Linked DNA regions of Xenopus tropicalis. The protein of the gene in region 3 interacts with the protein of the main gene of each other region in a pairwise test. Links are inferred from orthologs where the notes say so. Each region holds a gene or a part of one and is shown on either strand. Other genes may lie near its edges. The genes, in order: eef1a2, cul3 and abtb1.

What was found.
Region 1: the proteins of abtb1 (region 3) and eef1a2 interact in binary tests that used the Homo sapiens proteins (3 or more experiments, as listed by UniProt). The two-hybrid records come from large-scale screens. The link is inferred for Xenopus tropicalis from reciprocal best matches to the Homo sapiens genes ABTB1 and EEF1A2.
Region 2: the proteins of abtb1 (region 3) and cul3 interact in binary tests that used the Homo sapiens proteins (3 or more experiments, as listed by UniProt). The two-hybrid records come from large-scale screens. The link is inferred for Xenopus tropicalis from reciprocal best matches to the Homo sapiens genes ABTB1 and CUL3.

The regions. Positions count from the first base shown.
Region 1 is NC_030686.2:2,005,914-2,010,331, reverse strand, and holds the end of eef1a2 (elongation factor Tu, mitochondrial), read right to left. Parts: intron 2,273-4,418; coding exon 2,122-2,272; intron 2,044-2,121; coding exon 1,787-2,043; intron 1,457-1,786; coding exon 1,222-1,456; intron 963-1,221; coding exon 835-962; 3' UTR 614-834; downstream 1-613. UniProt on the Homo sapiens protein: Translation elongation factor that catalyzes the GTP-dependent binding of aminoacyl-tRNA (aa-tRNA) to the A-site of ribosomes during the elongation phase of protein synthesis.
Region 2 is NC_030681.2:123,798,203-123,801,853, forward strand, and holds part of cul3 (cullin-3), read left to right. Parts: intron 1-2,251; coding exon 2,252-2,449; intron 2,450-3,651. UniProt on the Homo sapiens protein: Core component of multiple cullin-RING-based BCR (BTB-CUL3-RBX1) E3 ubiquitin-protein ligase complexes which mediate the ubiquitination and subsequent proteasomal degradation of target proteins.
Region 3 is NC_030680.2:134,786,684-134,790,334, forward strand, and holds part of abtb1 (ankyrin repeat and BTB/POZ domain-containing protein 1), read left to right. Parts: intron 1-2,586; coding exon 2,587-2,649; intron 2,650-3,370; coding exon 3,371-3,426; intron 3,427-3,651. UniProt on the Homo sapiens protein: May act as a mediator of the PTEN growth-suppressive signaling pathway. May play a role in developmental processes.

The DNA.
Region 1 (4,418 bases), on a different chromosome or scaffold from region 3:
TGATTTATGACAACTTGGCAGAGCAAAATACATGGACTCCATCCCCTGGAACCCTAACAGAGTAATTTATCAGCGAGATACAAACTTGTGCTCGGCTTTCTGACTCCCTGCAGTACATGCAGAATAAATAGCAGTTTTCTACTCAATAAGGATAACACTCACTGTTATATGAATCCTTCAGGGCACAACACGAACATGCTCAGTTTGCTCCTCTCTCCCCCTCCCCTCTCTGCTCTCTTCCCCTCCCATCTCTGCTCTCTCCCCCTCCCCTTTCTGCTGTAATCTGAGCTACCAGCAGCCAGAACCACAGCAGGGAAGCTACTGAGACCAAGCTAAAATGGCAGCTGCTATCTTAAACAAACAGAGGGGGCTTCAATGGCTGTTTACTCAGGTAAGGTAAAGCTTTCTGCAGAATAAATATAACATTCTAGCTTGCACTGATGTGACTATTGGCAAAATAAAATGCCTTTCCTTCTCCTCTGTCTTGAGTGAAAGCAACCTTTTGTTCTATAGCTGCTGGAAGTCTGCCTATTTCTATTTCTCAAGGTTCAGTGGACCCCCGAGTTTCTACCAGCCACACAACCCATGGAAAGAACCCCACAACGTCACATTATGAATGTTGAACCAGTTTAATTGGTAAAATGGACACTAAAGATTACAGAGCAGGAGCATGCTTTTCCTCTTAAAGAACTTCCACTGGACTTTAATGGTGAGCATCCAGTCGTTGACATACAGGCTTTTACAAGCAGATGGGCTGGCGTGCACCTCAAAGAGAAGGGGACGGACCTTCCCAGAGGGGCAGGGCTTGTGTGCCAGACGGAGGGAACCGGCAATTCATTTGCCAGCCTTCTGGGCTTTCTGTGCGGACTTGGTCACCTTGCCGGCTCCTCCGCTTTTCTTCTCCACGTTCTTAATGACTCCCACGGCCACAGTCTGCCTCATGTCTCTCACTGCAAAGCGCCCTAGAGGGAGAATAGTGACAAGGTGACAATGACCTGTGCCATCTCATCACGCACCTAATGTCACTTAAGCCAAGACGCAGTGGTTATGGGCTCAGGTCAACAGATTTGGTGGACATTTATAAAAATGGCACAGCAACCAATGCACCTCCATATCTTTCCCAAATACTAATCTTTCAATCTTCTTGGCACCCAACAATGTCCACCTGTAACAGAATAATATCGTTATCTCGCCCCGTGCCATGGCATTTGAGATACTTACCAAGAGGTGGGTACTGGGAGAAGCTCTCTACACACATAGGCTTCCCAGGGATCATCTCCACAATAGCCGCGTCTCCAGATTTCAGGGACTTGGGGTTGTCCTCAAGCTTCTTGCCGGACCGGCGATCGATCTTCTCTTTCAGCTCTGCAAACTTACAGGCGATGTGGGCAGTGTGGCAGTCAATGACTGGGGAATATCCAGCACTGATCTGACCAGGGTGGTTTAAGATGATCACCTGAGGATAAGGAGTAAACACGTTTGTATGGACCACCATCTTATCCCGTCACAGGTTTTTCACTTCTGTACCTGCCTGAACCTGCAGCTTACTGAGCCTTACCATTGTAATACCATGGAAGGCTACATGGACCTCCATCTGTCCCCTAGTTCTGGTGATCACCCAACACTTCTCACTACGTCCTTGTCTATTCTCCTCATTAAAAGCGTGTGGCGCCCTTATTTGTCAATGTGGGGTCAAGACTTTTAGACCTGCTGGCAACTGAGTAGCTAAGGGTTTCTCCTATAGAAGAAGGGACATCTGTAGGAGAAATGGGACACGGTTTCTTACCTGAGAAGTGAAACCAGCAGCTTCCTGGGGTGGGTCACTCTTGCTGTCCCCACAAACGTTGCCTCGGCGAATGTCCTTTACTGACACGTTCTTGACATTGAAGCCAACATTGTCCCCAGGCAGAGCCTCGCTCAGAGCCTCATGGTGCATCTCAACGGACTTGACCTCAGTTGTGATATTGACTGGAGCAAAGGTCACCACCATGCCCGGCTTTAGAATGCCAGTCTCTACACGACCCACTGGAACTGTGCCGATTCCTGAATCACAAAGGCAGGTTGGGAATACAACTGGGCAGAATGCAGATGGGGAGGCCATACAGAAGAAATATTAATTACCTCCAATTTTATAGACATCTTGCAGGGGAAGACGCAGAGGTTTGTCTGTTGGGCGAGTTGGGGGAAGGATGGTGTCCAAAGCCTCAAGCAGGGAAACTCCATTGGCATTGCCTTCCTTCCTCTCCACTTTCCATCCCTTGAACCATGGCATCTAGAGGCCCAGAAGCACATTGGGGGTGAATAGGAACTAAAATAGGATGAAGGGGGGCAAAAGAGGGAAAGCGAAGATAGAGTTGTACTCGGGGAAGGGTAAGTGGAATGGGTTAGGGCCAAGAGAATGGAAAGAACCAACATGGTGAGAAGGAAAGGGGTGCAATAGATAGGGGAGGAAATGTGTGACTGACACAGCTGAGAGAAGAGGTGCATGCAGGGAAGGGGCTATTGGGTGGAACTAATGGATCAAAGGGGAAGAACAACCATAATCAGTGGGCCCCCTGCAGGGAACAAACTCCATTTATATCACAATGGCAAAAAGAGAGGAAATCTGTCCAGACTGGGGAAAGTCAACTGGGAACTGCAATAACCTGCACCCCATTGATAAGCTCCCATAGATGAACTACAGTTCCCAGCATGCTCTGGAAATGAATAACTGCTGCAGGGTGCTGGGAGTACCAGAGGCCAGAAAGGCTTTTCTATATGTTCTAAGAACAAGAACTCAGTAAGTGGGTTTGTTCCATGCTCCATATGAGAGGCTCTCTCTACTCAAATTTAAATATTAGCTGCCACTCCCCCTGATGTGACATCACCAGCATGACATCATGACCAGGATTACATAAACCTTATATACAAAAGTCGATTTAAAGAGGTGTAATTGATTAAAATCCCATGAGCCACAAAGCCTTATGGGTAATATATCATTGTTCTAGTATAACCTGCTCACAGGAGCTCGATGGGAAGGCCATGTTTGGCCGGCTACACTTGTCTTTTGGCTCACAGACCCAATCTTTTTATAACTGGGTTTTATAGGATCTGATGAGCATGGGATTTTTGGACCTGGTGACTCACGGTCACAGATTTCTAAATGGAGATGGGGGGCGGGGGGGGGGACACGGGGGAAGCCACGTGCAACACTCGGGGTTAAACCTGACACTGACAGGGGAGGTCGGTCCGGTCCTAATGCAGGAAAGTTACACTGGGCCTCACTGTGGGTCAGAACCTGCACAAAGGTACTACAGGTGAGCAAGACCCAATAAAACAATAACAGATTCAAGGATTACCAATCGCTGATCATAGTGATTGCATATCTACAGCTTTAGCATTGGAAACATCTACATAACCCAAATTCTATTTTGCCTTGAAGCCAACAGAAACTTTATCTGACCAATCAGGTCCCACTATGTCAGAATTTGAAAAACAACCCTCTTATCTTTAGCCAATCACCAGCCAGTTCCACAACACCAACTATTAGTCTGAAACTGTTCTTAGTCTTTGTGCCATTGGTCAATAATATCCCAATTATGGCTTTAGCTCTATCATTCTGGTGGCCTCATATCCCACCAGAGTCTTGGTCTCCAGTAAACAACACGGAGAGATACAAAATGGCCACTAAGGTAATAAAGAGAATGTAGAATCTCAGCTATGAAGAAGAACTGGCTGATTTAGGACTAGTCAATGGAGGAGAGAAGATATGATCACCATGTATATAACTCTTTGATGCTTTATTTACTAGAAGATCCTTCTATAGATCAAGGCTGTCTGACTGGAGGCCCACGGGCCAAATGTGGCCGTCAAAGAATTTTTATGGCCCCCAGTCTGCTCAGAGACTCCATAGACTTCACTATATGACATATAACTGGCCCACTACATGTAATGAGCTGGAAAGCACTGTTCGTAAAGAATCCAGAGGACAATGGGGAATCTTCTGACATCAGAATAATGAAGGTTCCACCTTTAGGTTCTGAAAAGATTTTTTTCCTAGATATGGCAGATACTATAGAAAGTCTCAAGAAAGAGTCGAGCGCTTGATTAGCGTTTGAGAAAATACTTTGGATATGAGCATTCATACTCATATAATCATACTCATTGCAGTAGGTTGAGTGTTCTAAGGGAATGTTTCCCTTCTGAGGGATCCTCTGGATCTATAAGACCAAAGGCTTATACTTTATGAATGGATCTATTCTCAAACATGACTGTTCCTGTGTTGTTATGATGACATGAAGGTTTTCCAGTCCCTGGACTCACCAAACATCACTTGTATGTTCTCCTATTAGTTGTGTTATCTCTATAACGTTCCACCATTACATTCATGGTCTCTACATACCTCAACCATCACCGGCCTAAGACCTAGTCAAACCAAA
Region 2 (3,651 bases), on a different chromosome or scaffold from region 3:
GTGGAGCAGTGGCAGGCAGTCCTAGCCAGGGGGTTAATTTAGGCTAGATTTGTGGAGAATGTCTATTTGTTCTCCGAGATACACCTGAAAGTCTAGCTTGAAGATCAAAAAGACCACAATTTGGGCCAAACAGTTTTATACTCTCCTACACTTATCACCATCCTATAGCAACCTATCAGCGGGTAGCATTTACTGATCATCTTTTTAAAAGCAAGCCTCCCATTGGTTACTGCTCCTGGGCGAGCTTTGTGCCTTTTATTACATATGGCGGTTAGTCTTTTGCTCATCACTCCATTGCACAAGTCCTGAAATGGCATTATATTGGTTTAGTATGCCTGAAAGCATTGGCTTTCCAACTCTAACACGAGACTACAAGGCTGTTTCTTGTGTAGTAGTGGAGTCAGGTGCTGGTGGTCCAGTAGTTGCATAGCAGATAACTGATTCTGTTTTTAGAATACAGGGGTACCTAGCGACAGTCAAAAGTTGTTCATGGCTCTCAACACAAATGTAAAGGCTTGTATACCTTTGTTACAGAAAGTAAGACCTATTGGCAGTAAATGTATGCAATTGCTGAACAGTATAAGCGAGAGAAAGTAATTTGACATTAAGAATTTTGTCTTTTTGGAACTGATTTATTTGGTTTTGCTTTTGTGTTTGCTGCAGGAGATTACAATGTGCGTGGTGTCTGTTGAGAACATGCTAGGTAGCATTGAGCTGAGCGCTGATTTGGGTTTGAAAGCACGGCTGTATGTGGGCTTAGGGTTGCCACCTGTCCTGTTTTGACCCAGACAGCCCAGTTTTTGGAAAGGCTGTCTCCAGGTCAAAACCTCCTTCCTGGTTTTCCAAATTAGGAAAAACGGGGCAGGACTCGCAGGCATTGACAGCCTCATCTCTGTGATGTCACGGCCCACCTCTTCCCCACTCCCATGATGCCACAGTCCCACCTTTTCCCCGCCCCCCACCTGGCGAAGAAAGCCAGCAGAGGTGGCAACCCTACGTGGACCTTAGCTGCTACGCAGTCTGGAGCAGTGCAAACCCTAGCCTATAGCTACTATTTTAAAGATTTAGGGGGTTATCTAATAAAAGGCACCAAGTTTGCCCAGGAGAAGGAAGCATTTATAGATCTTGTTTAAAAGCAAACATCTTATTGGTTGCTGTAGGTTACTGCTCCTGGGCAAACTTAGTGCCTTTTATTACAGGCACTAAGTTTGCCTCTAATACAGGACAAGTGGATTTTGTCCACAGGACAAGTGGATTTTTGCTTTATGCAGCCTCCCAGGTATTGGATTAAAACTGCTAAACCAAGGGATCATTAGTTGAAAAAACCCCTACATCTGAGCAAAAGTTATTCACCCATGCTGATCTTAACAAATAGCTTAACTTTTCATACAAAGCAGTAAAACCCCTCTTGCAGCAGCCCATGTGTGCTCACACAATAATGATTGTGAGAATTTGACAAAAGCAGATACCACACAGGAAATAACAAGGTTGCTTCTAAGGCCAGGGGTGCAACTCTGTGTTTTCTCTGATGGCGAACGTATGCCTACAAGATGGCTCTGGTTTGATTTTGGAAGAATAGAAATATAGTGGTAAAAGGCCATTATTTCTTAACTTTTTTTTCATGAATTGGTTCACAGGTAACATTGTAATCATGCATGTTTCTTTTGCAGCATGCCATTGTCTCTGGCTGGCAGGGTAGAGCCTTACTTATTCCATTGCCATACTGTTATAATCCTTCTGTTGGCTGGAATATTGTTTCCACTTATAGTGCACTTTGTAGGATGGTAGTGCCCACCCAAGCTCAGCATTATTTGCAAATCTAATGGTGGCCATACATGGTCTCTTAATATCCAGCTAATTTGATTGTTTGGACTTAGGAACAAATGTTCAATTTAAAATGGCGGGTATATGGGCCGTCACTGATGCAGTCCCTGATCCAACTGGAAAATCAAACCTACCCGATTGAGACCTGGGCAATTTTAGACCAGATATCGGTTGGGTGGGCCCATCGGTAGTGCCCATACACAGGCAGATAACCTGCCGAATCGGTCATTTAAATCGTCAGTTGAAATATGTTTGTGTATGGCCCCCTTTACTCTTCGTAAACTCCTGAGTTTAGTATGTTCAAATGTTAGTGCTGTGCTGGGAGGTTGTTTTGGGGGGTATAAAAAAAGGTGCAAGAAAAAAAAACTGGGTGCATGTTTGATACTAATACTGAAATTATTCCTTTTGTCGTTTCCTTTTTTCACAGATGACTATGGATGAAAAATATGTGAATAGCATTTGGGATCTCCTAAAGAATGCCATTCAAGAGATTCAGCGTAAAAATAACAGCGGGTTAAGCTTTGAAGAACTTTATAGGAATGCATATACTATGGTGCTCCATAAACATGGGGAGAAGCTGTACACAGGACTGAGAGAAGTTGTAACTGAACATCTCATAAATAAGGTAACTATTCCTATAATTCACAAGTAACTACACACCGGTATCAGAAGTTAAAACTAAACCTGTATGAGATCATTGTTTCTTAGGGCCATAGAACAGCGAAACTTATAAACTGACGGCATTTAAAAAAACGATGTTTATCAGAAATAAAAAGTCTCTTAGGGAGTTGGTGCAGCGCTCTGTTTATTTGCATTGTGGGCTTTGCGGGAGGGCTAAATGTTTGTGCACCTTCAGTTGATTAATGGTGCTGGCCATGACAAGGCACACAGCAGCTAGAAAGATACTAAAAAAATCAAAAAACTTTTGTGCCATTAGTATGACAACCATAGACATACATTACAACTAGTGTACTGTATTGTGTGTTCTTTTTGGTGAAGAGCTGTGCAACTTGTATTGCGTATACCTCAAAATTAAACAAGTGGTTTGAAACTTTACGAGATGGCAATCGTACATTCCCTCTCTCTTTCAACCAACATTTTAGCTCTTAGGTTAAAATGATTTTAATATTGTTTTACAAGATCATTTTAAATATTTAGGAAGGCTAAAATGCATTTGCTGGACTGTGCTGTACCCAAAATGCATTTATCACCTTTAAATTTAATCATTTATTTAGCTCCATCTCCCACAGGACTTGCAGTGTAAGACATTACAGTTCTCACATACACACTGATACACATTTACACATTGTTGCAGTGGTATAAGGGCTCTGGCACACAGGGAGATTAGTTGCCCGCAACAAAACTCCCTGTTCGCGGGCGACTAATCTCCCCGAGTTGCCATCACCTGCCATCCCACCGGCGAAAATGTAAGTCGCTGGTGGGATGGCACACGCGGCGGCGCGATTTCGGCAAATCGCCGAAGTTGCCTCGCGAGGCTTTTTCGGCGATTTCCCGAAATCGCGCCCTAATGAGCTTCAAGTTACTGTATAAAAAAGTAATCCATAATACTCGTGATAGCTGCAATAATTGACATTAAATGCTTCTCATAAGTTTGTGTTCATCTTTCACATGGGTGTTGATGAATGTTAGTCCTTTTTTCATCATTGAACTGCTTTAAGTCAGACATATTGGCTTTTGTGCATGACCTACTCGTTTTAAAATGCTGCCACAGGAGCTCTGGTTGAGATCAGGAATTTAAATAGTCCAGTCCCAAAATGTAATTTTGTTTCAGCTGGACCATTCAGATGTAGACTTGATTTTGGATCA
Region 3 (3,651 bases):
TCTGTATGAAGAGCCAACCATACATGGTGCTAATTGATAGTTGTGAGGAGTACGCTGATGTTAAACATGTGGCTGAGCCTGATTTGCCTCTGCCAGCTAAATCACAAATGGAAAGACCAGAGCACATTCTTGATGTTACGTTTGCCCATTTATTTGGGTTCCCAAACCAAAATTTGTTAAAGAGCCCCACACAACGTGGAATCTGCTCCTTTAAATAGTATGAATAAATAGCATTTTTATATGCTGAAATACAGCTGCAAAACAGTTCTTCTGTTTCTGCAGTATTTGAAACCCTGGCGGGGAGGAGGGACTAAAACATTGATGTTACAAATTGTAATAACTTCACACAGCTTACAGACAGCATGCAGGAACTACATAACCCACAATGCATTGCACCGTAATGTTCCTTTCCTTATTGACATCACGTGTGCAGGGAATTGTGGGATTGGGAGGATGCAGGCTGAAGGCAGGCTGAGGACAGGTGACTACTGTTACATTTATTTTAGTGTCAAAGTAGTCAGCCGGATTTGTATGCTTCATACAGATAAAATGAATCCATCTGAGCACTGATCTATACTGTCTGTGTACTTGAGCTCAGATGAGGTGCATGGCTGCCGAGTCTCCTACTTGTAGTCACAGGGGCTACATTTTTAGACACCCATAGATGCTTAATGCAGTCTCGCACTAATCAATAAGCAACGGGGGAATGAGTGATCTCCTTTATAACCTTGTTCTATGCAATTACCACAGAGCGTTGGCCTTAGCTGTATCCCTAACCACATTAGCACCGGCTCCAAGGTAAAATATACCCTATTTGTAGGGCAACTTCAGAAAGCAACTTGTATGTTTTCCCACCACCGTTTTACATTATTTTCGGTGGGAAAACTTTGTCTCCCCATGTGCCATCACCATAAATAAAGGAATGTATGCAGAGTCACAGATACAGAACATCTCCAGTCAACCTCAGCGCTGCTCCTCCCCGGCAGCCATTCTCCAGTACATCCGAGCAACCAGTTAGCTCTCTTTTAGTAGTCTCCATGGAAATAATGAGCATTGGTAGCCACATATTGGGGGCTGAGAATCAGACCCTACACTCCGAACAGCCTTTTCATGTGCCTGCGGCTGGAACCTCTGCATGGAGCCATTTCAGCCCCAAAACGCACTCTACCCCCCAGAATCGGAGCATTTTTGCATTCAATGAAAGTCACTGTTTTTAAATAATGCACAAGTTGCATCTGCATCATAATAGGATCAGATGCCCATGGCATGGGCATAGTGTACCCACCAGCTACATGTGGGGCAGAAAGAAACAAGCCCTAGTATATGGCATTTAAACACACACATTTAAACAAGTAAGGGCAGTACCCAATAATTGTAAATGATGCCCAAACTGGAAATGGAGAGCCGGACACCCAGGTATAAACTCAGTGGGGTGCTAGCCCTCAGGAGAAATCCCATTTAGCAATTTCAAATACACATTTTATATACAGGTATGGGACCTGTTATCCAGAATGCTCGGGACCAAGGGTTTTCCGGATAAGGGATCTTTTCATAATTTGGATCTCCATAACTTAAGTCTGCTAAAAATCATTTAAATATTAAATAAACCCAATAGGATTTTTAAAAATTAGTTATTTGCTTAAAATGGAGTCCGTAATTCGGAACTTTTTGGATAACAAGTTTCTGAATAAGGGATCCCATACCTGCACAACATATCAAGAAAAGAGGATTGTGCAAACAAATTTATATGCAAAGTACAAAAATAGTTAATTAACAATGCATTACATAGTTAGAAATGCCCTACGCATTTGAAACAAAAATCTGTCTTTATTGGGGAAAATGTTTATTTTTAAAAAAGGCAAATGAGGCTCATCCTCTTGCTGAAATAGAGGAAAAAAAATAGTACAGGTATGGGATCCCTTATCCGGAAACCCGTTATCCAGAAAGCTCCGAATTACGGAAAGCCTGTCTCCCATAGACTCCATTTTAATCAAATAATTCAGAATTTTAAAACTGATTTTCTTTTTCTCTGTAATAATAAAACAGTACCTTGTAATTGATCCCAATTAAGATATAATTAATCCTTATTGGATGCAAAACAATCCTGTTGAGTTTAATTAATATTTTATTGAATTTTTAGTAGACTTAAGGTATGGAGATCCAAATTACGGAAAAACCCCTTATCCGGAATACCCTTGGTCCCGAGCATTCTGGATAATAGGTCCTATACCTGTATTTCTTTTCTTTGTAAATTGCTGGCTATGAGATGCAGCTAGGCCATGGGAATTGTCCTGTGTTGTTGGAAGTGAAAATGATTGTAGTTTCAGACTGTTTTATTGTTTTTCCTCTTATGTTTACAAACTTTTCTCCCCCCCTGACCCTGCCCATTTGGAGCCCAGCCAGGCGTGCTGCTATCTGGCAGCTGGTGACACAAGATACCTAGCACCCTGGGTGCCACATGCAGAACATTCCTCCACTTTGCCTGCTCCTGCATCCTTTCTGACAGTGGCTCTAGGCAGCCGATTCTATTGCTGAGACAGATACTGCAGAGGGCAGCATTAACTATGTGTTTTATTTTATCTGCAGACACCTTGTGGAGCAGAGAGACGTGGAACTGAATGTGCGTGATAAATGGGACAGCACACCCTTGTAAGATGTGCAGCTTTGCTAAATGGCTTTATGCATAAGAGATATGTTTAAAGGGAAACTCCAGCTTCCGAACCAAATTTGTTAAAGAGTCACACACAACACAGAAACCCCTAATATACCTATCCCTGTAATCTGTTCCTTTAAAAAGTATTAATAAATATAATTTTTATATGCTGAAATCAGCTGCAAAACAGTTCTTGTCTTTCTGCGTCATTTGAAATCCTAGCAGGGGAGGAGGGACTGAAACACTAATGTTACAAATTGGAACAACTTCTCCACAGCTTACAGACAGCATGCAGGAACCTGGATGTACTTCAAAACAAACTAAAGGTGGCCATACGCAGGCCAATAAAAGCTTCCAATGGACCATGTTGGCAGCTTATTGGCCTGTGTATGGGGCCCTTAGGCCTACCTGGCCAATACCTTGTAGAAAATAAGCAGATGTCAATTGTGCATATTTAAAAATCCTGTTGGGACAAGGAGCATATCAGGGCCTTGATGGGGTCCTCATTCCAACTGCCTCAGTGAATTGGCCCCCAGACTTAAATCAAGTCCCCAGGTTATGAAACCCTGCATTAGCCCTATTAGCTTATTATCAAAATGAAAAGGTTTTTTATGAACTGGAAATATTGGATAATACTTTTTACTGAAAAATTTGTTCAGCGATGTTTTTATAATGTTCCTATCTTCTGCTTTTATACTTTTTCTTTTTCTTCCTAAGGTACTATGCCTGTCTTTGTGGACATGAAGAACTTGTCCGTTACCTTTTAGCTAATGGTAAGTAACAGCACCCCAAAACCAAACCGAACTAAAATCCTCCATTAAATGTTGTTAGATTGGGCTTATTCCAAAAGTAATTCTGCTATAAATTCTCGTTTATTTGGCCAGTAGGGAATGGGGAAACGCACAGGGACTTGAACCGAGAATTCTCAGATTTTTAAACTCTGATAAAGAGGGACCAACTGAATGTAAACATATTGTTTTCATTAATATAAGGTTCCC